Macaca mulatta: one gene and its partners. The protein of the gene in region 1 interacts with the protein of each later gene in a pairwise test. Links are inferred from orthologs where the notes say so. Each region holds a gene or a part of one and is shown on either strand. Other genes may lie near its edges.

Evidence for each region.
Region 2: the proteins of VAPA (region 1) and ADGRG7 interact in binary tests that used the Homo sapiens proteins (3 or more experiments, as listed by UniProt). The two-hybrid records come from large-scale screens. The link is inferred for Macaca mulatta from reciprocal best matches to the Homo sapiens genes VAPA and ADGRG7.
Region 3: the proteins of VAPA (region 1) and ZBTB22 interact in binary tests that used the Homo sapiens proteins (3 or more experiments, as listed by UniProt). The two-hybrid records come from large-scale screens. The link is inferred for Macaca mulatta from reciprocal best matches to the Homo sapiens genes VAPA and ZBTB22.
Region 4: the proteins of VAPA (region 1) and APOD interact in binary tests that used the Homo sapiens proteins (3 or more experiments, as listed by UniProt). The two-hybrid records come from large-scale screens. The link is inferred for Macaca mulatta from reciprocal best matches to the Homo sapiens genes VAPA and APOD.
Region 5: the proteins of VAPA (region 1) and CACNG1 interact in binary tests that used the Homo sapiens proteins (3 or more experiments, as listed by UniProt). The two-hybrid records come from large-scale screens. The link is inferred for Macaca mulatta from reciprocal best matches to the Homo sapiens genes VAPA and CACNG1.
Region 6: the proteins of VAPA (region 1) and PGRMC2 interact in binary tests that used the Homo sapiens proteins (3 or more experiments, as listed by UniProt). The link is inferred for Macaca mulatta from reciprocal best matches to the Homo sapiens genes VAPA and PGRMC2.

Annotation. Positions count from the first base shown.
Region 1 is NC_133423.1:80,874,930-80,879,122, reverse strand, and holds the start of VAPA (vesicle-associated membrane protein-associated protein A), read right to left. Parts: upstream 2,801-4,193; 5' UTR 2,576-2,800; coding exon of another isoform or gene 2,497-2,575; intron 2,264-2,496; exon of another isoform or gene 1,501-2,263; intron 1-1,500. Other genes in the region: uncharacterized protein LOC114673840, read left to right, coding at 3,019-3,290, 3,491-3,536. UniProt on the Homo sapiens protein: Endoplasmic reticulum (ER)-anchored protein that mediates the formation of contact sites between the ER and endosomes via interaction with FFAT motif-containing proteins such as STARD3 or WDR44.
Region 2 is NC_133407.1:182,983,380-182,987,606, forward strand, and holds the start of ADGRG7 (adhesion G-protein coupled receptor G7), read right to left. Parts: upstream 2,801-4,227; 5' UTR 2,555-2,800; coding exon 2,440-2,554; intron 1-2,439. UniProt on the Homo sapiens protein: Orphan receptor.
Region 3 is NC_133409.1:148,971,354-148,975,404, reverse strand, and holds the start of ZBTB22 (zinc finger and BTB domain-containing protein 22), read right to left. Parts: upstream 2,801-4,051; 5' UTR 2,734-2,800; intron 2,601-2,733; exon of another isoform or gene 2,509-2,600; intron 1,843-2,508; 5' UTR 1,774-1,842; coding exon 1-1,773. Other genes in the region: DAXX (death domain-associated protein 6), read right to left, coding at 3,589-3,648, 3,841-4,051. UniProt on the Homo sapiens protein: May be involved in transcriptional regulation.
Region 4 is NC_133407.1:3,201,951-3,205,450, forward strand, and holds part of APOD (apolipoprotein D), read left to right. Parts: intron 1-1,743; 5' UTR 1,744-1,771; coding exon 1,772-1,894; intron 1,895-3,182; coding exon 3,183-3,304; intron 3,305-3,500. UniProt on the Homo sapiens protein: APOD occurs in the macromolecular complex with lecithin-cholesterol acyltransferase. It is probably involved in the transport and binding of bilin. Appears to be able to transport a variety of ligands in a number of different contexts.
Region 5 is NC_133421.1:76,795,624-76,799,653, reverse strand, and holds the start of CACNG1 (voltage-dependent calcium channel gamma-1 subunit), read right to left. Parts: upstream 2,801-4,030; 5' UTR 2,608-2,800; coding exon 2,379-2,607; intron 1-2,378. UniProt on the Homo sapiens protein: Regulatory subunit of the voltage-gated calcium channel that gives rise to L-type calcium currents in skeletal muscle. Regulates channel inactivation kinetics.
Region 6 is NC_133410.1:137,052,446-137,056,572, reverse strand, and holds the start of PGRMC2 (membrane-associated progesterone receptor component 2), read left to right. Parts: upstream 1-1,327; 5' UTR 1,328-1,341; coding exon 1,342-1,759; intron 1,760-4,127. UniProt on the Homo sapiens protein: Required for the maintenance of uterine histoarchitecture and normal female reproductive lifespan. May serve as a universal non-classical progesterone receptor in the uterus.

The DNA of each region.
Region 1 (4,193 bases):
CAAAACTGTCTTTTTAAAGTCCTTCACTTAAAAAGAAAGTTTTGAATGATTTAGGATAAGTCAGTTAAACGATTTTTTTCTATCACAAACTAAGCACAAGTAGACTGTAGATTCTAAATGAGTCTCCTCAGTGTTGAGCTGTGCACTTAAATACACAAAGGTTTCCATCAAGCAAACAATTTACCTTTGACTAAAAAAATAATATTAAGGAACCAGACACCAAATGTCACCTCCCAATCCCCCCCATTATCTCCGTCTTTAAACTGAAACACACAACAAACTATTGGGCATTTAAGTACCAGGCATTCTCTCACAGCAGTGTGTTTACTCAACCACTCTCTTGGCCTAAACCTCCCCTGAAATGAAAAACGAGCCTTTTCCTTAAAAATTTCCTAAGGGAGGGATGGGGCACGTAGAGAAGGCTTCTTTCCTCAGACAGGGTTGAGTCTCTGTTATACCATCTATATACCTTTTCTGTTTCCCTGGCTAGTCTTATCATTTTTACTGGCAACACAAGAACAACGTGTTCTATAATCATAGCTGTAATTCTCCAATACCCCCAAAAAAGGAAATATGAGAGTAAGTCACTGTGTAGGGTTTTTGCTTGTTTTTTTAAACCTGCTTCTCCACTATTATTAGTCTCTTACTATAGCAACATAACAACTTCCCTAAGGAGAAAAAACTTCAAACTGTGGACATTTCCTGGCCTAAAACTGTCCTAATGGCAACTTACACATACTTATAAGTCCCTCATGGCAACTTACACAGTTATCCAGTAGAGGAAATGTTCACTGTAAACACGGCCAATCAAAAGATAAAAACGAAATATTAAAAAACACATCATACAGGCTTACATTAAATTATCTCGAGATAATGGCTGAGTTAGGACTTTTCATAATTCCTCAAAGGTTTTCCCCCAGCTAAAACTACGTAAAAAAATCACACAACTTACATAAACTTGCAATAAAATACATTCACTGCACCTTGTCTTAAAACCAAATCCTTACCCAACAAGTAGCTCGCTTACACTTACTTCTATTCAAAGAAATTTGTAAATGCACTAAAAAGCTTGCAATGTAGTTACGCAATATTAATCTCATAATTCCAGAATATATTTTAAATTCCTAAAACTGAAGTTTTTCCTATGGAAATAATGTAGTTGGTCTTCTCTTGGACTCAACCTCACACAACAATAAAGGATTTAACTTTTTCTTTTAGCACTAGAATTGCTATGCACCTCACAAAAATTGTTCTCATTCAACAACTGAAATACAAGACATAGACTTCCAAAACGGGCCTCACTTTACACTTAAGATAGGAAGAAACCTACTTTCTATCAGATGTTCACACTCTTTCAGTATTCCTTAAGAATACAGAAGAAAAAAAAAAATCTGTACAGTTTTACTCTCTTTCCTAAAGTACAACACATATCGACTAAGGAAAGGCACCAAACAGCCCCTGGGATTCTTCCAGGATCACCAAGTCAGACTAAAAACTTACCACAGGCAGCGCTACAAAATAAAAACCTACAAAGCTCCAGAGCTGGGTCACACCTTATCAGGCCTCTCAGGATCTGTCGGCAACCGCAAACGTAAAAGCAAAAGTCACACGCACTGAAGGTTTCTCAGCAGAGGAGCGCAACCGAAGGGCTAAATAAAAGCACGCGGGTGGCACACTGAAATGTCGTGGAAGGCAGGAAGCCCCGCTTACTATGAACCTACAACTCTCCGCTCGCAGCTGACGCATCGCTGCTGCCCGCACGCGCCTGGGTCCGTGCCAACAGCACCGGGCAGCCCTCGCCAGGCACCTCCAGGGCTTCTCCGCCTCCCCGGCGCGCCCTACACCTGACGGCCGAGTTCTAAGCCGGGCGGAAAGGTGAGAAACGACGCGCTCCGCGGAGCCCGAGGGCCGGCTGCTCCCAGCTCTGCCCGGGCCGGGGCAGGGGCCGAGGGGCGGTCTCACTCCCGAGGGGTCCCGCGCCGCGCCCTGGCCTCCCCGCGCCGCTGACAGCCGGGAGCGGGCGACGGACGCAGCTTGCGCCACCTCCAGAGCCCACTCCCCGCCGCAGCCCAGAGCGCACGCCCGCCGATGCCCACCCGCCCACGCCCCGCCGGAGCACGCCGTCGGCCTCGGGGACCAGGGACGCGGGCCCGGGCGGACGGCGGCTCGGGCGGGACCGGACACCCAGGAGGCGCCCCCGCGGGACCGCAAGATGGCGGCGGCGGCGGCCGCGCCAGGGCCCGGCTCCCGTCCGCCTCGCCCCGGCCGGCGCGCGCACCGCAGCGCGGGCGGGCGGGAGGGGACGAAGCGGGCCGGAGCAAGGGGCAGGCCGGCCGAGGCGGCGGCGAGGCAGCAGCCGGGAGAGGGCAGGCGCCGGGGCGTGGGGGAGGGGGCGCTCCCTCTGGCCGGGGCGGCCGAGTTGTCCTCCGCGCCCCCCGCCGCCCGCCAGCCCTCCGCGCGCCCCAGCCAGCCCTGGGGTGTCCCCGTCCTGCCTACCTTTGAATTTGAGGTCTGTGGGCGGGTCGAGGACCAGGATCTGCTCGTGCTTCGCCATGGCCCCTGAGGCGGACGCCATCGGAGAGACAGCGCAGAGCGGGGGCGCGCCCGCGGCGGCGGTTTGCTGACTGGGGGCGGGGGTCGACGGCGGCTCGGCCGAGCTCTAAGACGAGGCCAGGCTCGCAGCTCCCGAGCCCTGACGCCTGTCGCTGTGTCGCCGGTTCGGTGGGCCACCCGCTGGGTCACCAGCTCCGGGTCTCACAACTGACTCAACCCCACACCAGCCGCCACGGCCACGCGCACTGCGATCCTCGGCGCCCCACGTGACGGCCTCTGCGTGCCTACGTGCGCGCCCCGGCGGCCAGGAGCCACTAGCGCTCGTCCCGCCCTCCAGGCCGGCCTAGCGCGGCGCGGGGCTGCTGCGCCTGCGCGCTCGCGGCTTGCCGCGGCCCCGTGCGCAGCCCAGCTGTCAAGGGAACGGGTGTGGAGGGAGGCGGGGCAAAGGTCCGCGGGGCCGACGCGATGCGCAGCGCAGGGCTGGCGGCGCAGTCCTCTGTCACCTTGAGCTGCGAATACGGAACTAGAGAAACTGCTCTGGCAGCGCTTAACAGTCTTCCAAGTGGGAATGCCCAGTGGAAGGGACAAGAAGCAGTGGGGAAGCGCCCACTCACTACAACTCCCGGCATGCCTTCTGCGGGGCGGGGCATTCGCCGAGGGCCTGGCCCTTTGCGGCCCTGCGCGGTGCTTGCTGGGAACTGTAGTAACGGCTGTTTGTGGGCGGAAAGGCGAGCTAGGTCCGTTGGAGGCGAATGGGGTGGGGTTCGCGGACGCTAATTTTGGCTCAGAGCGCGTCTAGTTTGCGCTAGAAAAAAAACTTTTGAAGACTGAAACGAGGCCCATATGTTAGAAATATACTAATAAAATCTGCCCTGTGGAGAACAGGCTGGGGGGATGTGTCCGTTTGCTCTAATTCTATCCGTCCCTCTGTTGGCAGGGCTGCATTCCTTGTGGTATCCAATCCAGCCTCTCCTGGTTCCTGAGTTGTCTCCAGTGATGCAAAATCAGATAAGGAAACACATCTCGTCTAGGAAGCAAGGGGAAATATGACAAAGCACACAGAAGCTAGAAATAAAAGTCCAAATCTACACCATCGAACCCAATAACCTTCTTCAGTTTTGATTAATGATGGATCCAAACCAAAACAGTTGTCACGTTCACATGTTAGAAACGAAACCCATCTGCATCACTTATGATAGGCGGTAGTAAACTGAACCAAATGAGAAAAATCCCAGCAGCAAACTTGTTGACAAAACTTTAGCCGATTGCCACGGTAGTCTGGTACAGGAACGTCAAATGAAACCAATGTGCTGTAAATAAACCTTTATTGTATTTTATGATACGGTTTGAATTTAAATCCCTAGGAAGCTCCACGAAACAAAAGACATATTGATGCTAACGCTGTGGAGCAGCACAGTTTGTCTAGAAAATAAATGAGACGAAACAGCAGTCTAGATGTAGGCACCAAGTCCAAGTTTTCATGTGGGATCCAGGTATCAGAGGAATCGCTGGAATCGTTAGCCTGCTGGAATCGCTAGCCTGGCATTCACAGAAGATCGTGCCACCCAGGAGGAATGTGTCTTCAGCCATGTGGTTCCTTGGAGTGAGAGGTGAAGCCAGCCATACTTCTGGGTCCGGTG
Region 2 (4,227 bases), on another chromosome or scaffold:
CTTCTCTCCCTGTCTCTACCCCTTCTCTGCTTTTCTAGGGGAGGGGCAAGAACCCCGATCTCTTATTTTGCCCCCTCTTATTTTTGCGCCCTGACGTCTTATTTTTGTGCCCCCTCTTATTTTTGCACCCTGATCTCTTATTTTGGCACCCCAATACCTTATTTCTGCTCCCCGACCCCTTTCCTGCTTTTCTGGAGGGCAAGAACCTCCGAACTCCTTCTCTCTGTGTCTCCACTCTCTCTTTTCTCTGGGCTTGCCTCCTTCACCGCAGGCAACCTTCCACCCTCCATTCTTCGTTCTCCATAACCTATGTTCTCAAGAACTTAAACCTCTTCAACTCACACCTGATCTAAAACCTAAACGCCTTATTTTCTTCTACAATGCTGCTTAACCCCAATACAAACTCGACAGTAGTTCCAAATAGCCAGAAAACAGCACTTTCGATTTTTCCATCCTGCAAGATCTAAATAATTGTTGTAAAATGGGCAAACGGTCTGAGGTGCCTGACGTCCAGGCATTCTTTTACACATCGGTCCCTCCCTAGTCTCTGTTCCCAATGCAACTCGCCCCAAATCTTCCTTCTTTTCCTCCCACCTGTCCCCTCAGCCCCAACCCCAAGCATCGGTGAGTCTTTCTAAAAATCATCCCTTTCTACAGACCCATCTGACCTCTCCCCTCCTCGCCAGGCCAAGCTAGGTCCCAATTTTTCCTCAGTCTCTGCTCCCGCACCCTATAGTCCTTTTATCACCTCCCCTCCTCACACGGGTCTGGCTTACAGTTTCGTTCCGCGACTAGCCCTCCCCGACCTGCCCAGCAATTTCCTCTTAAAAGTGGCTAGAGCTAAAGGCATAGTCAAGGTTAATGTTCCTTTTTCTTTATCCGACCTCTCCCAAATCAGTTAGCATTTAGGCTCTTTTTCATCAAATATGAAAAACTTAGAGGCCCAGTTCATGGCCCGTTTAGCAGCAACCCTGAGACACTTTTCAGCCTTAGACCCTGAAAGGTCAGAAGGCCATCTTATTTTCAATATGCATTTTATTTTATTACCCAATCTGCTCCTGACATTAAATAAAACCCCAAAAATTAAATTCCAGCCCTCAAACCCCACAACAGGACTTAATGAACCTCGCCTTCAAGGTGTACAATAATATAGTAGAGGCAGCCAAGTAGCAACTTATTTCTGAGTTGCAATTCCTTGCCTCCACTGTGAGACAAACCCCAGCCACATCTCCAGCACACAACTCCAAACACCTGAACCGCAGCTGCCAGGGGTTCCTCCAGAACCTCCTCCCCCAGGAGCTTGCTACAAGTGCCGGAAATCTGGCCACTGGGCCAAGGAATGCCCGCAGCCCAGGATTCCTCCTAAGCCGTGTCCCATCTGTGCGGGACCCCACTGGAAATCGGACCGTTCAACTCACCTGGCAGCCACTCCCAGAGCCCCTGGAGCTCTGGGCCAAGACTCTCTGACTGACTCCTTCCCAGATCTTCTCGGCTTAGCAGCTGAAGACTGACTCTCTTTTCGGACTCAGCCTGCCTGCACCCAGGTGAAATAAACAACCATGTTGCTCACACAAAGCCTGTTTGGTGGTCTCTTCACATGGACGTGCATGACACTTACCCTTATTTATTGTTTCATTAGAAGCTTTCTCTGATTTTTACAAAAGGGAGTATGCAGCCCATCCAATATTGAATTCCTTTATGGAGAAGCTCTACAGCCCAAGGGATCCAGCATTAGGATCATTGAAATTTTCTGTTCTGAGTTACAGCAGGCTTTGCTTTAACATCATTGTTTTACTCAATACTTCCCCTCCCACGTCCTCCTTTTCCAGGCCAGCTCTGGCACACAGTGGGGAACTAATAAATATTTGTTGAATAATCAGGAAAGTCATTTAAAAATGATTTTTAAATTGTTGATTAATTTCCTACATCTGGAAAGTGGGAAATTTGTGTGCAAACCATGAGATCATTTCACTTAAACCTTGGTGATGAGTTTCTTTAACTTCTCTCTTAAAGTGAAATTCTATTCTGTGCATGTTTGATTGTGTGTGTGTTATGCACGTGTGTGTACGTGTTTGCTGCATGTGTGTGTCCTTGTTCATAACGATTTACCCTTTCCTTAATTTAACCCAACAGACCTAAACATGTGTTACTAATTGTTTTAATTATTACTCTTCTACCAATTCAGTCTGGAGTTAAAAGAGCATAAAGACGCCAATTCAATTATGTCACTCTTCCCCCTCCCCATTCACACCCACACCTATTCATTTCTGTTCAACCATCTGCTAGGCTTAACTGACTTGGTCTTTTATATCCCATAAATGGCATCTTGCTGGGATGCCTCAGACTGGACAAGGCACCTCCCAGTACTTGTGCCTCAGGTGGCAGGGACAGAGGTCCCATGCCTTCTCTTACTCTGAGTTAAACATAGCAGGACATTACCTCTTTGGATCCTGATCACAATTCTCCAGATGCCCAGTCCCAAAATGATGCCAGTCAGTAGCCCACACACGACAGCCACCAGCACCCTAATGTTCCAGGCACGGCAAGAAGCCATGGTGAAGCCAAACCACAAATCCACTCCTGGGTGAGAAACAACTAGCTTCTTTTCTTCTTGAGTTTAATCAGAAACTTCTAAAACAGAAAAATAAGTCCTCCCCTCAGTGATCTGTCAGATGGATGTCTTTATATTTTAGGACTTTTGAGGCTAATGCAGTAGGATGCCGTTTGAATCTCCTAATAAAACGTGCATACTCTGCTTTCAATTTCCTCATCCTTCACTGAAGGAGAACGTGAAAGAAGTGATTAGAGTTATGGGAATAGGGAGATAACTCCAGGCAATAAAGAAGAAGGGGAGGGACTAGCCACAAGGGTCAAAGAGTGAATGTCCAGACAAGTCACAGAGTGAAGCAAGGGAACAAAACCGAAGAAACCAAAGAGGAAATCATGAAGGCAGTGGATGCCAGTGGTCACCTACGGCTCGGCTTCCTGTGTTTTTGTCTTGGGAGGGTACAGCACGGATAGACTGGCAGGTGCTTCAGACCACACAAAACACTCTCTCAGGGAAATGAACTAGTTTGTCAACAAGAGGATAAATGGCAATCACCACATGTGATTTTAATGCTTTCATTTCTTTAAGGAGCCTACATTTTGACAGATGCAGTTGGTGAGTGGGCATACTGGCACAGGGTGGGTCTTGAAAAGCACTAAAGCCCAGCATGATAACCCATCTGCTACAGGCTGAATTGTGTCCCCTCCAAAATTCATATGTTGGAGTCCTAACCTTCAGTACCTCAGAATGGGGCCTTATATGGAGATATGGTTATTACAGAGCCTATCAAGTTAAAATGAGTTTGTTAGGGTGGTCACTAATCAATATGGCTGGTGTTCTTATAAGAAGAGGAAATCTGAACACAGACATGAATAGAGAAAGATGATCAGAAGGACAGAGAGAGAAGACGGCCATCTACAAGCCAAAGAGTGAGTCCTCAGCAAGAACTGGCTCTGCTGACACCTTGACTTTAGACTTCTAGCCACCAAAACTGTAAGACAATAAATTTCTGTTGTTTAAGCCATCCAGTTTGTGGTACTTTATTAGAGCAGCCCTGGGAAGCTAATATATCATCAGAGTAATTACAAACTGGTGTCTCTCTATAGATGCAGCTCTGACCCTCCCCTGCCCAGGCTCCCATGTTCTCCTTCCCTATCCTCCACCCTTACCTGAAAGAACAGATAAACGAACATTCACCTCCTTAATCACAGTTTTGTTCTGGTAGAGAGAACAGGTGCTCTGGTCTTCTCTGGACACTCCCTCGCTTCATCAAATCCATATTAAATCCCTTTAATGTGTTCGAATTGGTACAAGAAATGAACAGGGTCCTCAAAGAACTCGTATTTTCTCAGGGGTGAGATACCTAGATATAGCCACCTATAAGGCAAGTCATAACTGTTAAAATAAAAGATATCAAATTTAATTATTATGGAGCGTGGGTGCTCCTTGACTTAAAATAAGATTACATCCCAATAAATCCACCTTAAGTTAAAAATATCATGAGTCAAAATGCATTAAATATACACCTAACCTGCTGAACATCCTAGCTTAGACTAGCCTACCTTAAAGGTGCCCAAAACACTTACAATAGCATAAAATTGGGCAAAATCATCTATCACAAAGTCTGTTTTATAATAAAGTGTCGAATGTCCCCTGTGATATATTGAATACTGCAGTGA
Region 3 (4,051 bases), on another chromosome or scaffold:
AGACTCTCTCTTAGAAGGCAAGGAAGGCCCCGTGGGCGTCCCAGGCCCAGGTCCGGCTCCGCCCCCACCCAGGCGGTGCCGGCGCTCACAGTGTCCTCGGTGGCGCATGAAGCTGTCTCGCCACATGAACTTCTTGGCGCAGACTCCGCACTCGTAGGGCTTGAGACCTGTGTGCGTCTTCATGTGCTCAGTCAGATGGTGCTTCATCTTGAACTTTTTGTTGCACACGGGGCAGTCAAACGGCCGCAGATTGAGATGCATGTTCACGTGCCGGTCCCGCATGCTCTTGTGGGAGAAGGCCTTCCCACAATGGCACAGAAAGATCTTATTCCCGTCCCCGCTGCCAGTCCCTCCAGGGACCCCCCCAACGCTACCCGGCACACCCAGGCTCCCCACCGACGTGCCCCCCCCAGTCACTGCCCCGTGTTCTGCTTGGTTCCCTGGTGGTTGGCCAGGAGCCTGTGAGGAGGAGGATGAAGACGACGGGAAGACCAAGATCTGGTTGCCCTGCATGTCCAAGGGAAGAAGTGGTCGAGGAGGGTGGGAGGGTGCATAGGAAGAGGGAGTTGGCCCCCCTGAGTCATCAAGACCTGCCCCAGGACCCCCACCCTCGTATGGGCCAAAGTCATTGGAGGACTCACAGAAGTTAACCTGCTCCTCTCCCTTGTCTGGGGGCTCACTCAGGGTACGGACATCACTTATGCTGAGGGTAGCCTCAGGCCCTCCCCCTACTGGAACCCTGGAGCTACCCCCTAGCTCTTCATCTTCATCATCCTCACAGGTCAACACCAGGTCTTCCTCTTCCTCTTCCTCCTCCAGATCTGGGTCTTGGGGAACCAGCGGTGCTGGTGCTGGGCAATTACCACCTCGCTTCACGTATACCCAGTGTTTCTGTGGCACGATGCTAGGGGGTGTGTAGGTGGGTCTCCGGACCCCAGTCCCAGGAACCACTGCCCCCCTCCCATCCCCACCATCATCGCACAGCTCATCTGCCTCCAGCAGCAGCTTTCCAGATGTGGCCCCCCCACTGCCAACGACAGGGGCTGGGAACACAGGGCCACCTCCTCGACGCTCCCCACTGCCCACTGCAGAAGCTGCAAATGCCTCTTGAGAGGAAGATGAGAAATCAGTGGACTCCCTGGGGCTGAAGTAGTTGCTGCTGCTGGGAGATTGATTCTCACTGGCCCGGCTGGAAGCATGGGAGCGTGCAGAGCCCATGGTAGCAGGGGCCACAGTGCCCCCACTCCCGGATGGGACCCCAGCACCAGGGACAGTGACAGAGGTGGCTGCAGCAGTAGTGATGGTGGTGGTAGCTGAGGCCCGGCCTTCTCGGAGTAGTTCAGTGCACTTGTCCACAATGTGCCACATTTGGAGCACAGACCCCACTGTGAGGAAGTTGACAATGTCAGCAGCAGCCATGCTGAGGCGGCCAGTGTAAGCGGAGGCTAGGACAGTCTCAAAGGCGCCTGGGTCCATGACACTGGGCAGTGAGATGGAGGTCATGCCCTTGAGTAGGACCTGATCATGGAAGTAAGGGGAGGAGGCAGCCAGGACAGCCCGATGAGCCCGGAACTCACGGCCCTGCACTCGGATAGACACATCGCAGAGCTGGCCCTGCAGACGCTGCTGATTGAGGGACTCCAGGAGGGCACTGGTCACCTCAGGGAAGGACACATGTACCACAGCAGCTGCTGGCAGGGGTAGTGGGGGCGGAGCCAGCGACAGCGGCAGGGGAAGTGCTGCCCCACTGGGAGACAGAGGAGATGGCTCCATGTTGTGGAGGGAGGGGATACCCCCCCAGCCACAGGAACAAAGAAAGGAAGAGGGCGGCCGGGGGGGTCTCTGGGAAGAAAAAGAGAAAAGAATAATGATAACATCTTATAACGACACAGCCCATTACAACTCAAAAATATGTTCACACCCATTATCTGTGTAACTCCCCACAACAGTGAGGTAGGTATTCCTCTCAACCCCATTTGACAGATGAGGAAACTGAGGCTCAGAAAGATTACAAGATTATCCAAGGTCACACAGCAATTGGCACCGCCAGCAAACACAGGTATCTGACAAATCCTGTGCCCTTTCCTTGGAGGTTAGAGAAATAAGGTGCTCTTAGCGGGTGGAGTGGCTTCCTTCGGAATTACACCCTATTTCCCATTTACCTGGGAGTCTGACATTCCAAAATCTACCTTTTTGGTGTTTTGCACCCACTTTTTGGGAGGGGGCAGGGCAGCTCCGCTACTGAAAACCAACTCTTGCTCCATCTCCCCTCCATGCTATGCCCCGCAAGCTCTCTCGTCGACCACGCCCCCTTCACCCCAGCTTCTCTCTAGCCCCGCCCCTTTCCAGGCCCGCCCCCGTGCCCCGCCCACTATCGGGCCTTTCGACCCCGCCCCTTGTCTACCTCCGCCCACAACGGACCCCGCCCCCCCCGCTCCGCCCCAGGCGCTACCTCGGCCACTTCTCCCACTCGGAAGGCGCCCCCCAACCTCGCGCGTCCCCGCTTACCGGGCCGCGCGCCCCCGGGCCCCCCCCGCCCCTCACTCGGCGGCCAGAGCAGCAGCCTGGGCCCCTCCCGCCGCCATCTTGCGCCGACTTCCTCCGCCCTCCGCCTCCGCTCCGCCTCCCGCCCCTCTGCCTTTAAAGGCACAGCCGGCCACCCCGCCCGTGCCGCTGGGCAATACTCGGCCGACTCGGCCACTTTGCCTTTAAAGAACCGTCGCCTCATTCCACCTTAAAAGATCAGATTCCCCCTCCTCCGCTGGGAACTCAGGACTTGGTTCGGCCGAAGCATTTATTCCCCTTTAAAGCTATAAGCCTGTCTTTTCCCATTGGCGATGGGTTCAGGTATCGTTCCCCAGGCTCCGCCTCTGAGCTGTGACCATTAGCTGGTTGGTGGGATCTAATCGCCCTTTTCCTAGCTCCTTACAGCCCCCTGAAGCCCCGCCCCCTTTCTCCGGGCCTGGATTGGCCAAATAACCTTGAGTCGGCCCCTCATTGGCTTTTTCACTCCTACTGCACGAAGTGAAAAAGTAAAGTGCGTTAAGGCGGCTGAAGCACTTAAAAAAAAAAAAAAAGTACAGCCTGAACAACATGGCGAAACCCTGTCTCTACAAAAAATACAAACAACAAAAACAAAAAATTAGCCAGGTATGGTGGCACGCGCCTGTAGTCCCGGCTACTCGGGAGACTGGGGCATTATCACTTGAGACTGGGAGGTCCAGGCTGCAGTGAGCTGTGATCGCACCACTGCACTCTGGCCTGGGCGACACAGCGAGACAACAACAACAAAAGACCAGGCTAGAAAGGACAGATCGGGACTACCCCGGGGATATTGGGCTAACCCTGAGCAAGGGGACAGCTAATGCCAATCTGTAACAGTAGAAGGACAAGAAAAAGACAGTGATACAGTAAGAAAAGAACTTTATTATTAATGTTTCTGTGTAAAACTTAAGCTTTTTTTTTTTTTTTAAAGAAACACCACCAAAAGGGGATTAGCTTAGTCCATCCCTTCCTCAGTCATCTGCTTCCCACATTCCTCCACATGCTATCCCAAAACATTCTGGAGGCAGGGAGAAGGGGAGGCAGCTAATCAGAGTCTGAGAGCACGATGATCTCTTCTGGATCGCATTGTGTGGCCACACTTGTCTGCAGGGAAGTCAGAGACAAAGAGTCAGAGATCTAGAGTACAGGAGAAAAGAAACAGACAGGAGGATTTACAGGATAAAACGGGTGGGAAAAAGAGACAGGATGTGGCAGGTGCAATATTCAGACAGAGCAGCTGAAACAGACAATGAAAGAGAACAAATTATCAGAGGAAACACGGCCTCCCCTTCTTACCTTGTAAGTACTGGGCCGAGGAGGTTGTGATTGGGGGGTTTGGGACAGCTGGGCTGGAGAAGGGATGCAGAGGGAGCTGGTCACCAGGCCATGGCTGGGAGAGTCCACCCTCGTGGAGGAATCAGCAACCGGAGCCAAGGAAGCCAAGGGGGAAGGTGGGCTGGGCAGGGTACATATCTTTTTCCCATTCTTCTCATGCACTGACCTTTGC
Region 4 (3,500 bases), on another chromosome or scaffold:
GACTCATAAGAAAGCAGTTATAATTATTCCTGTAATGACACATCCTTTGAAATGCTCAGATCTGAGAACATTTTGCTTGCATTGCATCAGTCATCATCATTACAGGGAGAAACGCAGAGAGCTGGAAATAGCTCATGTGCAAGCTACAGGCAAGGAGTCATAAGGAAAGGAGCAAATTGACAGCAAGTCAGTGAAGGAAACGGGGGAGCTTCAAATACCCAGAACCTGCACACAGTTCTGCAGCCTCCGTCTCCCCGCCGCCTCCGTCTCCCCGCCGCCTCCGTCTCCCCGCCCTCCGTCTCCCCGCAGCCTCCGTCTCCCCGCAGCCTCCGTCTTCCCGGCCTCCGTCTCCCTGCCCTGCTGCCCCGCTTCAAAGCCAGCTTCTGCTGCCAAAGGACTCTTGGGGTTGAAATGCCTGTTGCACAGTTACACATCAGCCGACAGTCCTTCTCTGATTTAATGAACTTCATCGATGAAAAATACCCTCAACAGGCCAGGTGCAGTGGCTCAGGCCTGTAATCCCAGCACTTTGGGAGGCTGAGGCGGATGGATCACCTGAGGTCAGGAGTTTGAGACCAGCCTGGCCAACATGGCAAAACCCCATCTCTACTAAAAATACAAAAATTAGCCAGGAGTTGTGGCAGGCACCTGTAATCTCAGCTACTCGGGAGATTGAGGCAGGAGAATCACTTGAACCGGGAGGGAGAGGTTGCAGTGAACCGAGGTCGCGTCAGTACATTCCAGCCTGGGTGACAGAGTGAGACTCCATCTCAAAACAAAACAAAACAAAACAAAAACCCTCAACAGAATGTCAAAAAAAAAAGAAAGAAAACAAAAAAAAGAAACAGAAACCTGCGAAACCATCATCTTTCTGCTTTTGATAATAACAGTAAGGAGCATTGACTGAGCATTTACTTTGTGTCAGACACTCCCCTAAGTACTCTCTCGATATTATCTCATGTAATTCTCACAAAAATTCATGAACTAGGAATGAGTATTATTCCCACTTACTAGACAAGGAAGCTAAGGCATAAATTGGACACAGTTATACTTAGCATGGCCAGAGTCAGGATCTGAACCTGGCTGGGTGACCCTGGGGTCCCCAGCAGGCCGCTCCCTGTTAAGGTTTCCAAGCGCACTCTTGGGCTGGTAGAGCAGCCAGCAAGCTGAGGGCAGGGGGAGGGGTGTCACAGAGCCATCTCCCCGAAGAATCTCGGAGACACTAAGTGTTGGGCAAGGTTTGGTTTGGTTTTGTGTCTTTCATGGTTCGCTTGGAGGCTTTAATTTCCCACTTTACACAGCCCCCTCCATGTCCCCCACTTTACACAGCCCCCTCCATGTCCCCCACTTTACACAGCCCCCTCCGCGTTGTTTCTGTTCATTTGACAAGTATCTACTGAGCCGACACTCTGAGGCCCGTGGGTGATTCTGAGGAGAACCAGACACGGTGCCTACCCTGGGAGATGCATAATCAGGTGGGAGTGGGGTGCAAAATCAATCCAACAAACTGGAATAGCAGGCGGAGAGTGCCCTGGTGGAGGTGCAGAGGCTCCGAGGAAAGCCTCACAGCAATACGGACAGGCAGGTGTCCCCTGCAGGATGCGGGTTCACATGGGCTTGGGAGAGAAGAGGAGAGACCGCCCACAGAGGGGCCCGTGGGCACAGGACTCTTGCTTCATGATTGTGTGGACTTAGGAGGCTCAGAATGACAACCCCAGCTGCTGTGTGTTCCTCTAACTCCAGGTCCCTTCTCCAGCCACCCAGCCCCAAGATGGTGATGCTGCTGCTGCTGCTTTCCGCACTGGCTGGCCTTTTCGGTGCAGCAGAGGGACAAGAATTTCGTCTTGGGAAGTGCACCTCGCCTCCAGTGCAGGAGAATTTTGACCCGAATAAGGTAAAAGGTGAACCTCCCATTTGTTTTGCTGCCTCTGATGTGAACAAGCATTCTACAAGATTCAATTTAATTATGCTGCTTTAATTTCCACTGCACACCTTGGGACACATATTTATCTTATTTGGGGTTTCCCCAAAGCGGACAATCTGCTGAGACAAAGACTGGGGGCAGAGAGGTTCGGGGTGATCCCAGGACGCACAAGAGCAGGTGGGAAAGTGAGTCGGAGTCAGCACAGAAGCAATAAAGGGAGCATCCATGAGCTGTCACCCTGGGCCGTCAGGGTCAGTCACACTGGGCACCCTCTGAGGACAGGTGGAGCATGCTCCTCCGATTGTCCATCAGCTGCTGCCCGCAGGCCATGGGAGCGTCTGTGGCGCTAGCCAAGCCCCCTGGCAGAGGACAGACACAGCGCCTCATCCCCATCACCTCCCCAAAGCCTTGGTGACCAACTCCCTATTCAGGGTGGATGAAGAAAGTTCCATGCACTCTGGAGTCCTAGCTCCCCACAGCAAACACATCTGACTTTGCACAAGATTTGAAGATGACTTGTAGAATCATGCACTGTTTCAGAAGAAAGTTACTTCCCATCATCCCCCTTTATTTTTTTCTTTTTCTTTTTTTGTTTTTTCCTGAGGCAGAGTCTTGCTCTCTCGCCCAGGCTGGAGTGCAGTGGCGTGATCTCGGCTCACTGGGACTACAGCCGCCCGCCACCACGCCCGGCTAAATTTTTGTGTTTTTAGTAGAGACAGGGTTTCACTAAGTTAGCCAGGATGGTCTCCATCTCCTGACCTCGTGATCCACCCGCCTCAGCCACCCAAAGTGCTGGGATTACAGGTGTGAGCCACCACGCCCGGCCAATTTTTTGTATTTTTAGTACAGACGGAGTTTCATCATGTTGACCAGGATGGTCTCGACCTCCTGACCTTGTGATCCTTCTGTCTTGGCCTCCCAAAGTGCTGGGATTACAGGTGTGAGCCACCGCACCCAGCCCCATCATCCCCCCCCCCCCTTTTTTTTTTTTTACAGAGTCTAGAATGTCACAGCAATATTGGCTGAAGGGGACACTGAGAAGAGCGCTTTGCTCAGCATTCACCCCCCCCGCCCACACATCCCATCCTAGTCACGGATTCTCATTTCAATTAATCTCTTGCCCAGTTGCCCCTGGGAACAATGAGGCCCATTTTTGTCTGGCTTCCCCAGGACAGGGCTCAACTTCTGCACAACAGTGCAGAAAAGGTTGCAGGTCCCCAGAGAACCACAGGTTTTGCTCTGCTTGTTGTCTCTGCAGTATTTCGGAAGATGGTACGAAATTGAGAAGATCCCAACAACCTTTGAGAAGGGACGCTGCATCCAGGCCAACTACTCACTAAAGGAAAATGGAAAGATCAAAGTGTTAAACCAGGAGTTGAGGTGAGTGGCTGTGGCTATCTGGGGCCAGGCCTGTGGAGTGCGGACCCGGAGTGACCAGGTGTCCGGCAGCCTGGGTCAGGGAGGATGGGATCCTTGCCAGGTCTGGACTGCCTGCTCCTAGCAGGAATTGAGAGGAAAGCATTTGTCAGGCAAGGATGGCAAGGACTAGGATCCACTTATGCGTTTCCATGACCAC
Region 5 (4,030 bases), on another chromosome or scaffold:
TTATGGAGAAGAAGATTTTTGGAAGTTCTTTTTCTCTATCATCTTTTTCGTGATGTCATTCAAAGTTGAAACATGTAAAGCATTTACAACAATATTCGGCACATAGGGTTACGTGTATGTGCCATTATTATTGTTGTTGTTGTTAATAATAAATGAGAGGCCACATATGAACCCGCTTCCTCCCTCCAGACAAGAATGGTCCCAGGGGGCACAAGAAGGGCATATGGGGAAGGAGAAAGATGTCCATTTGCAGAGAAAAGAGAGGGAAAAAGGCAGGAACATATTTTGGAAGATGACTGGGAGAAAGGTAGTGCTCAGTGTCACAAGTGTGGGAAGTATGGTTCATAGCTGGTTAGGCTAAGAAGGCAAAGAGGTAGATCCTGGTCAGGCTCAAGGCCTGTTGGTCCAACAAGCAATGCCTGTTGGTCCCCTGTAATTGGTCTAGTCACCTCTCACCAGCCTGTCTCTTCCTTGTGTGGACTCTGCTCACTGCCCAGTCCTCTGCTCTGACTTTAAAAGGCAGATGGTTCCAAGGACGGGTGAACAGGACTGTAACAGCACGTCCCTATGCGCGGTCCCTGAAGAAGCTGCCCTGCCCTGCCCTGCCCAGGGGAGTTGGCTGGAGGGATTGCCTGTTTATGGGTGTGCTTGGCAGTCGCCAAGGGGCATGGGCATCCGGGCTATGCGATACCCTGCCAGCACATGGCCACACCTGTCACCCTCAGCCCTGGGACTCGGTGTTTCTATAACAGTTGGGCACTTACGAGTCTTCTGGGCGTCCAGTGGGCGTGAATGAGGGAGGGGATCTCTGGAGCAAGCAGCAGGGAAAGAAGAGGGAGCAGAGATATGGGAGGTTGGGGTGTTGGCTCTTTGGTTCACATGCAGACTGCAAGATCTTTGGGGACTCAGCCCTAGTGTCCTTGAAGGACAGGTTTCAAGGAACACCAAAGTCTGGTAAAAGAGGGAATAATCCTGAAAACCAGGTGGGACATCACACTGACATAACCCTGCTCCACTGCCACTGTGGATGGGCGTCTGTAAACCTGGGAAGGGATCTTACATTGCTGAGAGTCAGTCCCATATTTTATAGAGGAAGAAGCAGAGGCTGAGATGATCTTTGTCCTCGCTGGATGGTCATTTGAGGGTAATGGGCAATGGTGACTAGATCCCTGGCCGCCTGGTCTCCACGTAGCACCCTTTCCTCTAAAGTGCTGTATTTGCTAAGAATCCAGAAGCCTCGGCATTTGCAGAATAGAGGCTAGTCATGCAACTACCAGGTACTCCTGAAAAGGAGCTTACCTTCGACATGTGGTTCGGTCACATGGTAGGAAATCGAGGAATACGCTTAAATTACAGGGTGAGGAAATGCTTTGTAACTCTGACAGGGTCTGAGCTAACGGAGGATGCATAATGGACTGACGTCCTGACAAAAGGGCGGGCGGAGGCCAGGCACGGTGGCTCACGCCTGTAATCCTAGCACTTCGGGAGGCCAAGGCAGGTGGATCACCTGAGGTCAGGGGTTCAAGACCAGCCTGGTCAACATGCCAAAACCCCGTCTGTACTGAAAGTATAAAACTTAGATGGGTGTGGCGGCGCATGCCTGTAATCCCAGCTACTGGGGAAGCCAAGGCAGGAGAATCACTTGAGTCCAGGAGGCGGAGGTTGCAGTGAGCCAAGATTGTACCACTGCATTCCAGCCTGGGCGACAGGGCAAAACTCTGTCTCAAAAAAAAAAAAAAAAAAAAAAAAAAAAGGTAGGGGCAGGTGGCTCACCCACAGCCACGTCCTGCTTCACAGGCATTCAACCTGTGCAGCTTCTCCAGGCCCAGGGCCCACAAGGGTCCATGCTTGGATTCATGTGCTGCTATCGCTGCCTTGAAATCCTTGGTAATTTGGAGCAAGGAACCCTGCATTTTCATTTTGCACAGGACCCTGCATATTCCGTCGCCTGTCCTCTCTCCTCCCCTGCCTTGAGGCCAGGGACAAACCTGCCAGCTCCATGGTTTCCCCCAGCCTGAGGACACAGAGCCACCCAGCATGTCTTTGCAGGGAGAGAGTGACCAGATGGAGCCCAGAAGTCCCTGGGCTGGTAGAGCTGCGGTTCCCGTCTTGAGCCTGCCCAGCTCTCTGTTCTGGGCGAAAAGCCCCAGGGTCCAGCCAGACAGAAATAGCTGGGACAAACGCCCTCGTCTTACAACCCAGCCCCAGCCACCAGCACAGCACATGCAATTCAGATCTTCTTCCCTGGGCAGAAAGGGCTGGGCGGCTGCCCTATCTCTAGCCTGAGAAACCTGCCTTCCTTGGCATGGGCAAATTTGTCCGGGGGACGACGGGGAAGGGCGGGAGGTGGGGATCGGGACGGAGGGTGGGTACGTTACCCCCGGGCAGGGTGATGGGCCCGCAGGTCTTGCTGTCGTCCATGGGGATGCGCTTGGTACAAATCCGCCAGAGGCCGAAGTGGGCCGCCTCGCAGGTGGTGTTGTGGTGCTCCATGTGGGGGCTCAGCACAGCCCAGTGGTCGGTTACCACGGCCGTCATGGCCAGCACGATGCCTGCCAGGATGCAGAAGAGGGTCACGCGGACCTTCAGCGTTTTGGTCTGGGACATGGTGGTCGCCGAGGCGTGGGTGCCCTGGGCAGGGTCCGGCGGCTGCGTCTCCTCCGGCAGGTGACAGCCGAGCTGGGGGGTGGCGGTGGTTGTCGAGTTGGGAGTGGCCACTAAGTTTAGTGTGCCTGGCTGAGCCAGAGTGGGCTGGCCCTGGGGCTGAGGGACGCGGGATGTGCTGAGCAGCTGCCCAGACGCGTCAGGGGCCTGAGGAAGGCTGCTATTAATGCCCCTCTCCAGGCGTGGCACCGGGGACGGCTTCTGCTCGGGTTTCAGCGCTGTCTGCCCCTCTGGGAGCCAGAAATACCCCAGTGGGGGGCGGGGCAAGGAGAGAAGGCTCTGGATGGTGGATTGAGGCCTCTATGGAGTAGCAGCTCAGGGTGCCTGAGTTGGGAGGGGGCGAGGGGTGGGCAGCAGGGCCCCAGGGGTGGAGATCTGTCTGCTCTGGGCTGATGGGAAAGGGCACCCCAGGCCAGGGGAGGAGACCAGGAGCTGCAGGCTGCACGGCCGTCCCGGGCTCCCACATTGTAAGCCTACTACCGGCGGGGCAGTGAGTAGGTTCTCATCCTGGGATCTGGGGGGCCTAGGATTCTGTCTAGGGACATCCCAGGGACCCTGTCCGGGGCCTGTGGAGTCCACCTCTCAGGCAAGCGTTTTAGCCACAAACCCCACAGCATCCCGCAAACCACAGGAAGATTTTAGGTGGTTCCCAGGCCTGGCCTTACCCAACTCTGATCCCTCCACGAGAACATTACTTCCTTTTCAATTCTCTTTCCATCCCCAAAACTGGGTCCAGAGCAGAGCTCCGTTCGAGGTCAGTGTCATTACTGCCCGCAAAGTGTCCTCTGAAACAAAGCGAGAACGGCCTGAAGAGGACGAGGAATCCTGCTGGACTTGGTTGTTCTGTTTTCAGGGCACTGTGTTTGGTTTTGCCTTCTACTAACAGCAGGTGATAACGATTTTCCAGTTACGTTTTAATTTGCAAAATATGTGTGTGAGTGAAAAAGAACGAATAGGTTGATTTATAGGGGATCATCAGGAGCTCATGGGTGTGCGGATATGGCAGAGAACACAGAAAGCCTGGGATCGACCACCCTCCGAGGGTCCTGTGCGCCTGCCTGGCCCCCAGGCCTGTCCCCGAGGCTGCGGCCTCTACGTCTCTCCTGGGTTGTGCCATCTCTCCCTTCTCAGCTCACTGGGTGGCCCTTTTTGGGTGTAGCCGAGAGGCTGATGCATGATCAGGAATAGCCTCCTGAGCTGGGTGGGGCCTTGAACTTCAAAATTCTTGCCTCAGATTGACACGATTTACAGAGACTCTGCCCATGTGGACAGAAACATTTCGGCCTCCAGCCTTGGAATCACAGAAAGTTCATGATGATGATAATAGGAGCAGTGGCTCATCTTCAGTGAGTGCTTACTATCTAAC
Region 6 (4,127 bases), on another chromosome or scaffold:
GCCCTTTACAAAAAATGTTTGCCAACCCCTGCTCTAATGTCTCCACTAGCTCTGAGTCTCCTCACCTCACGCACAAATACCCTAGCCTACTGATTTCCCACTCTTTCCCCTGCCTCTAATCCTTCAGACATCTGGCTGCTATATAACCTCTCTACAAGAGTATCGACCCTGTCACTTGCCCCATCAGTATCCTCAGTGGCTCCTCCAAAACCGACAGTGAAAGGTTCAAACCTATCCTATGAGACTCAAGACAACAGACAAGGGCAAGAGAGAACACGTCAAACGAGTCGAGTGCGTGAGACTTCAGAGGTCACTTTTTCACACCAGAATTTTAAGGTGTGAGTCGTCCCAAGTACAAAAAACAGAATCTGCAAATAAGAGTGAATGACGAATAGAAAGACGACCTCAACCTGTCCACTTCCCTACGGCCGCAGAGATTATGATTCAAGGAATAACGAGACTCTAAATCCTTTAAAATTCTACAAGAGCAGCCTTGGCCAAACCCAGCGGGGAGTGGCTGCTCGGTGCCAGGGCGAGGAGCACGTAGACTGCCGATGCCAGAGAAGCCCGGTGCGGGCTCCGTGCTTTCTCTCCGTTCCAGGAAGACCCAAGCTCGTCGCCAAAACTTCTCGCCGCTTCCCGGTCTGCGCGCCCAAGCTGCCAGTTTCCCGAAAAACGCCACAGCGCCCTGGGAAAAAGCAGATGCCCCTCATGGGTTTGCGCCTTGCAGCTCAACTATGCCCCAGCCTCCCACAAGCCACCTGTCCTCCGCCAGGCGTCCCGCCCGGATCTGCCCCCGCCGTAGCCGCCAAGGCGCACGTGAAGCTCCCGGGCGGAGCGAGCGCAAGAAGGCGGGAGTTTGCGGACGCGAACCCAGGCCTGGGAAGCGAAGCGATTCCGGGGCGCACGCGCAGAGCCAGGGAACTGGAGGGGCGTGCCTCCCGTAGGGGTTACGGAGCAAGAGGAGAGCGCGTGGCGCTCAGGAGCCCGCGCACGCGCTGTGGTCTCGCCCCGCCCAAGAGCGTCCGAGCGGCCGCCGTAGCATCTTCTCTTCAGACCCGCCCCCCTCGTCTACTTAACCTAGCGGAGGCTTGCAGCTAGAGCAGGGAAGTGTGGGGCGAGGTGGGCGGGGCGTCGCACGCGTGCGCGGCCAGCGAAAGAAGGGAGGCGGCGGGAGAGATCCGAGACAACGTTACCCCGTCAACACCCAATCAGGAGCGGCCCTGACCCCGCCCCCTCTCCTCACGTTATTGGCTGGGAGGCCCCCAGATGGGCGGGGCCGGCCGTGGGGTTGGGGGGGGCAGGGGGCGGGGAGGAGGAGGAAGGCGCTGGCGGGCAGTGATGGCGGCGGGTGATGGGGACGTGAAGCTAGGCACCCTGGGGAGTGGCAGCGAGAGCAGCAGCGACGGCGGCAGCGAGAGTCCGGGCGGCGCGGGAGCGGCAGCGGAAGGGGGCGGCTGGGCGGCGGCGGCGTTGGCGCTTCTGACGGGGGGCGGGGAGATGCTGCTGAACGTGGCGCTGGTGGCGCTGGTGCTGCTGGGGGCCTACCGGCTGTGGGTGCGCTGGGGGCGGCGGGGTCTGGGGACCGGGGCCGGGGCGGGCGAGGAGAGCCCCGCTGCCTCTCTGCCTCGCATGAAGAAGCGGGACTTCAGTTTGGAGCAGCTGCGCCAGTACGACGGGTCCCGCAACCCGCGCATCCTGCTCGCGGTTAATGGGAAAGTCTTCGACGTGACCAAAGGCAGCAAGTTCTACGGCCCGGGTGAGGAGTTGGAAGGGGAGGGGAAGGACCCACTACAGCTCAAGCACGACCCCCTTCGGACGGGGAGGCCTCTGGGCACCGGGTTAGTTTGCCCAGCCTTCTCGTCGCCTGGACCCCCGCGCCTCGGCCGCCGCACCTGGGACGGCCCGCCCCGCCCCTACGCATACGCCGCCCCCCCGCAGCTGCGGGCACCTCCAGCTCTTCTCCCGAAACCAGGGTCCCCGCTGGCGCCCCAGCGACCAGCTCTCAGCATTCATCTTTCTTCCATGCCATTTCTCCTCGCAGCCTTTTTTTTTTTTTTTTTTTTGGCTGGATTTTTCAAAATCGTTACATTTGTCACCGATCAGCGCTGGCCCTTAACCTCTTTTGAGTCTCCTAATTCCTGGGGTGGTTGGGGCACCAGGGAAGGGAGATTTCTGAAGTTGGGACCTAAACTAAAGTTTTACGCTCTGTAATTCACAGCTTGCTTTTCCTTGCCCCCGCCCCACGCTCCTTTTTTTTTTTTTTTTTGGCCACTGATCTCCTTTTTCCCTCGCTGTATTGCTCTCCGTAAGGCCACGTTTAGGGGCATGTAAAGTCCCAACCCTCCAGTCTCTGAAGTCCGGACGAATAAGCAACACCTCGGACTCTTTTTAAACCAGTTTTAGTTCGGAGTTGCTTTCCATGATTAACAAGGTATGTGGGATGAGGACAGACCAGAATGCAGAGCTTATTAAAGACTGGTAAGGATATTCGCCCTGAGTTTTGGGGGTGGAGCTCCTATACCCAGCAGGCATGTCTCTCGTTTCTTTTTTTTTTTTTCTGCTTTTCAAGTACACGTTGATAATGACTTGTGTTTTCACTTAGCAGAACTGAGGAGAAAAAACTTAGAAGAGTCGTAGATTCATACCCCCATGTGCCAGTTATGCAAGTTAAAGATTTTTAGAAATTTGTTTTCAGAGAACTTTGTGTAGGGTAGTTGATTTAGAAGCCCTTGTTTTACAGTGTGGTTATAGCATACATTTTGGATTATGTTAATAAACTCCAGACTCATGGAACCTGTTGGTATATCATAGAGTTGAGCAACACTGTACATCCTGGTTGTGCACTGATTAGTACTAAGCTTTAAAAAAAGAAAAGTGGTGACTACAATAAGAATAAATAATTAAATTAGAGACCTAAAGTGACCTGGTATTGGAGAGAGTACATCCAAGCCTTAAAGTCACAGGGTTGGCAGTCTGGAAATAAGCTGGTTTTCTCCTTAATTTAATCTCTAAGTGTTTGAGATTTATTGACACTTAAAAATATATACTTCTGATTTCAGTGGTTGGTAGCTGGAAGATATTTTAGAAGTGCTTTGGTTTGTAGTTTGTTCATTGGACTAGAGATAAGAAATAGGAGATTTTTGTTGTTGAATTACGTAATTTATTTCTTAGTTGTTTGTACTTCTGTGTATATATACACATTTAATCCAACCAAGTGAATACATAGCTTACAGAGTTTTTGCTTCTAGTTATATAAATGTGAACACAAGGTGTCTACTGAAATCTTATATCAGCTGAAATGGTTAATACATTTTTGTTTACTTAAGCACATGTGGGACAAGAGAGCAGGGCCAAAGTACAGTATTTAAACAGGCCAAGTGAAGTAAACTTTTTTTAAATCAAGGATTTACACAGCATTTTATACCTAGTTCAAGCTTTTTCCCCATTAGTATTAAAATGTGTGTTAAGTGATTAGAAATCCTGTACAGGTTTAAATTTTTAATATAGACCTTACCCAGCTGAAAGATCAGCTTTTGTACCCTCTGTCTGAACTGCCACTGAAGAAAACAAAGTATTAGTACAAAGAATTGTATTAGTCCTCACACATTATGCCTTGGCAGTATCTGAAAATAGTTAGGAGAGACAGTCATAGAGACAGTTTGGCAGCCTCCAGAGGCAAATGTTTGTTCTGTGATAGAAATTAAAAATTAAAGCCAGGCGCGGTGGCTCACGCCTGTAATCCCAGCGCTTTGGGAGGCCGAGGCGGGTGGATCACCAGAGGTCAGGAGTTCGAAACCAGCCTGGCCAACATGGCAAAACCTCGTCTCTACTAAAAATACGAGAAAATCAGCCAGGTGTGGTGGCCGGTGCCCGTAATACCAGCTACTCGGGAGGCGGAGACAGGGAGAATTGCTGGAACTCAGGAGGTAGGGGTTGCAGTGAGCCGACATTGCCCCATTGCACTCCAGCCTGGGCGACAGAGAGACTCTGTATTAAAAAAAATAATAAAAATTAAGAGTCATAGGTGGTAGATTGCTTTTTTATGGTAAGTGCACTGAGGGAGGCTCTTGAGATTACAATGGAGAAGTCAGTTTTAGATTAGTTTCTGCCAGTTCCTAGGTTCT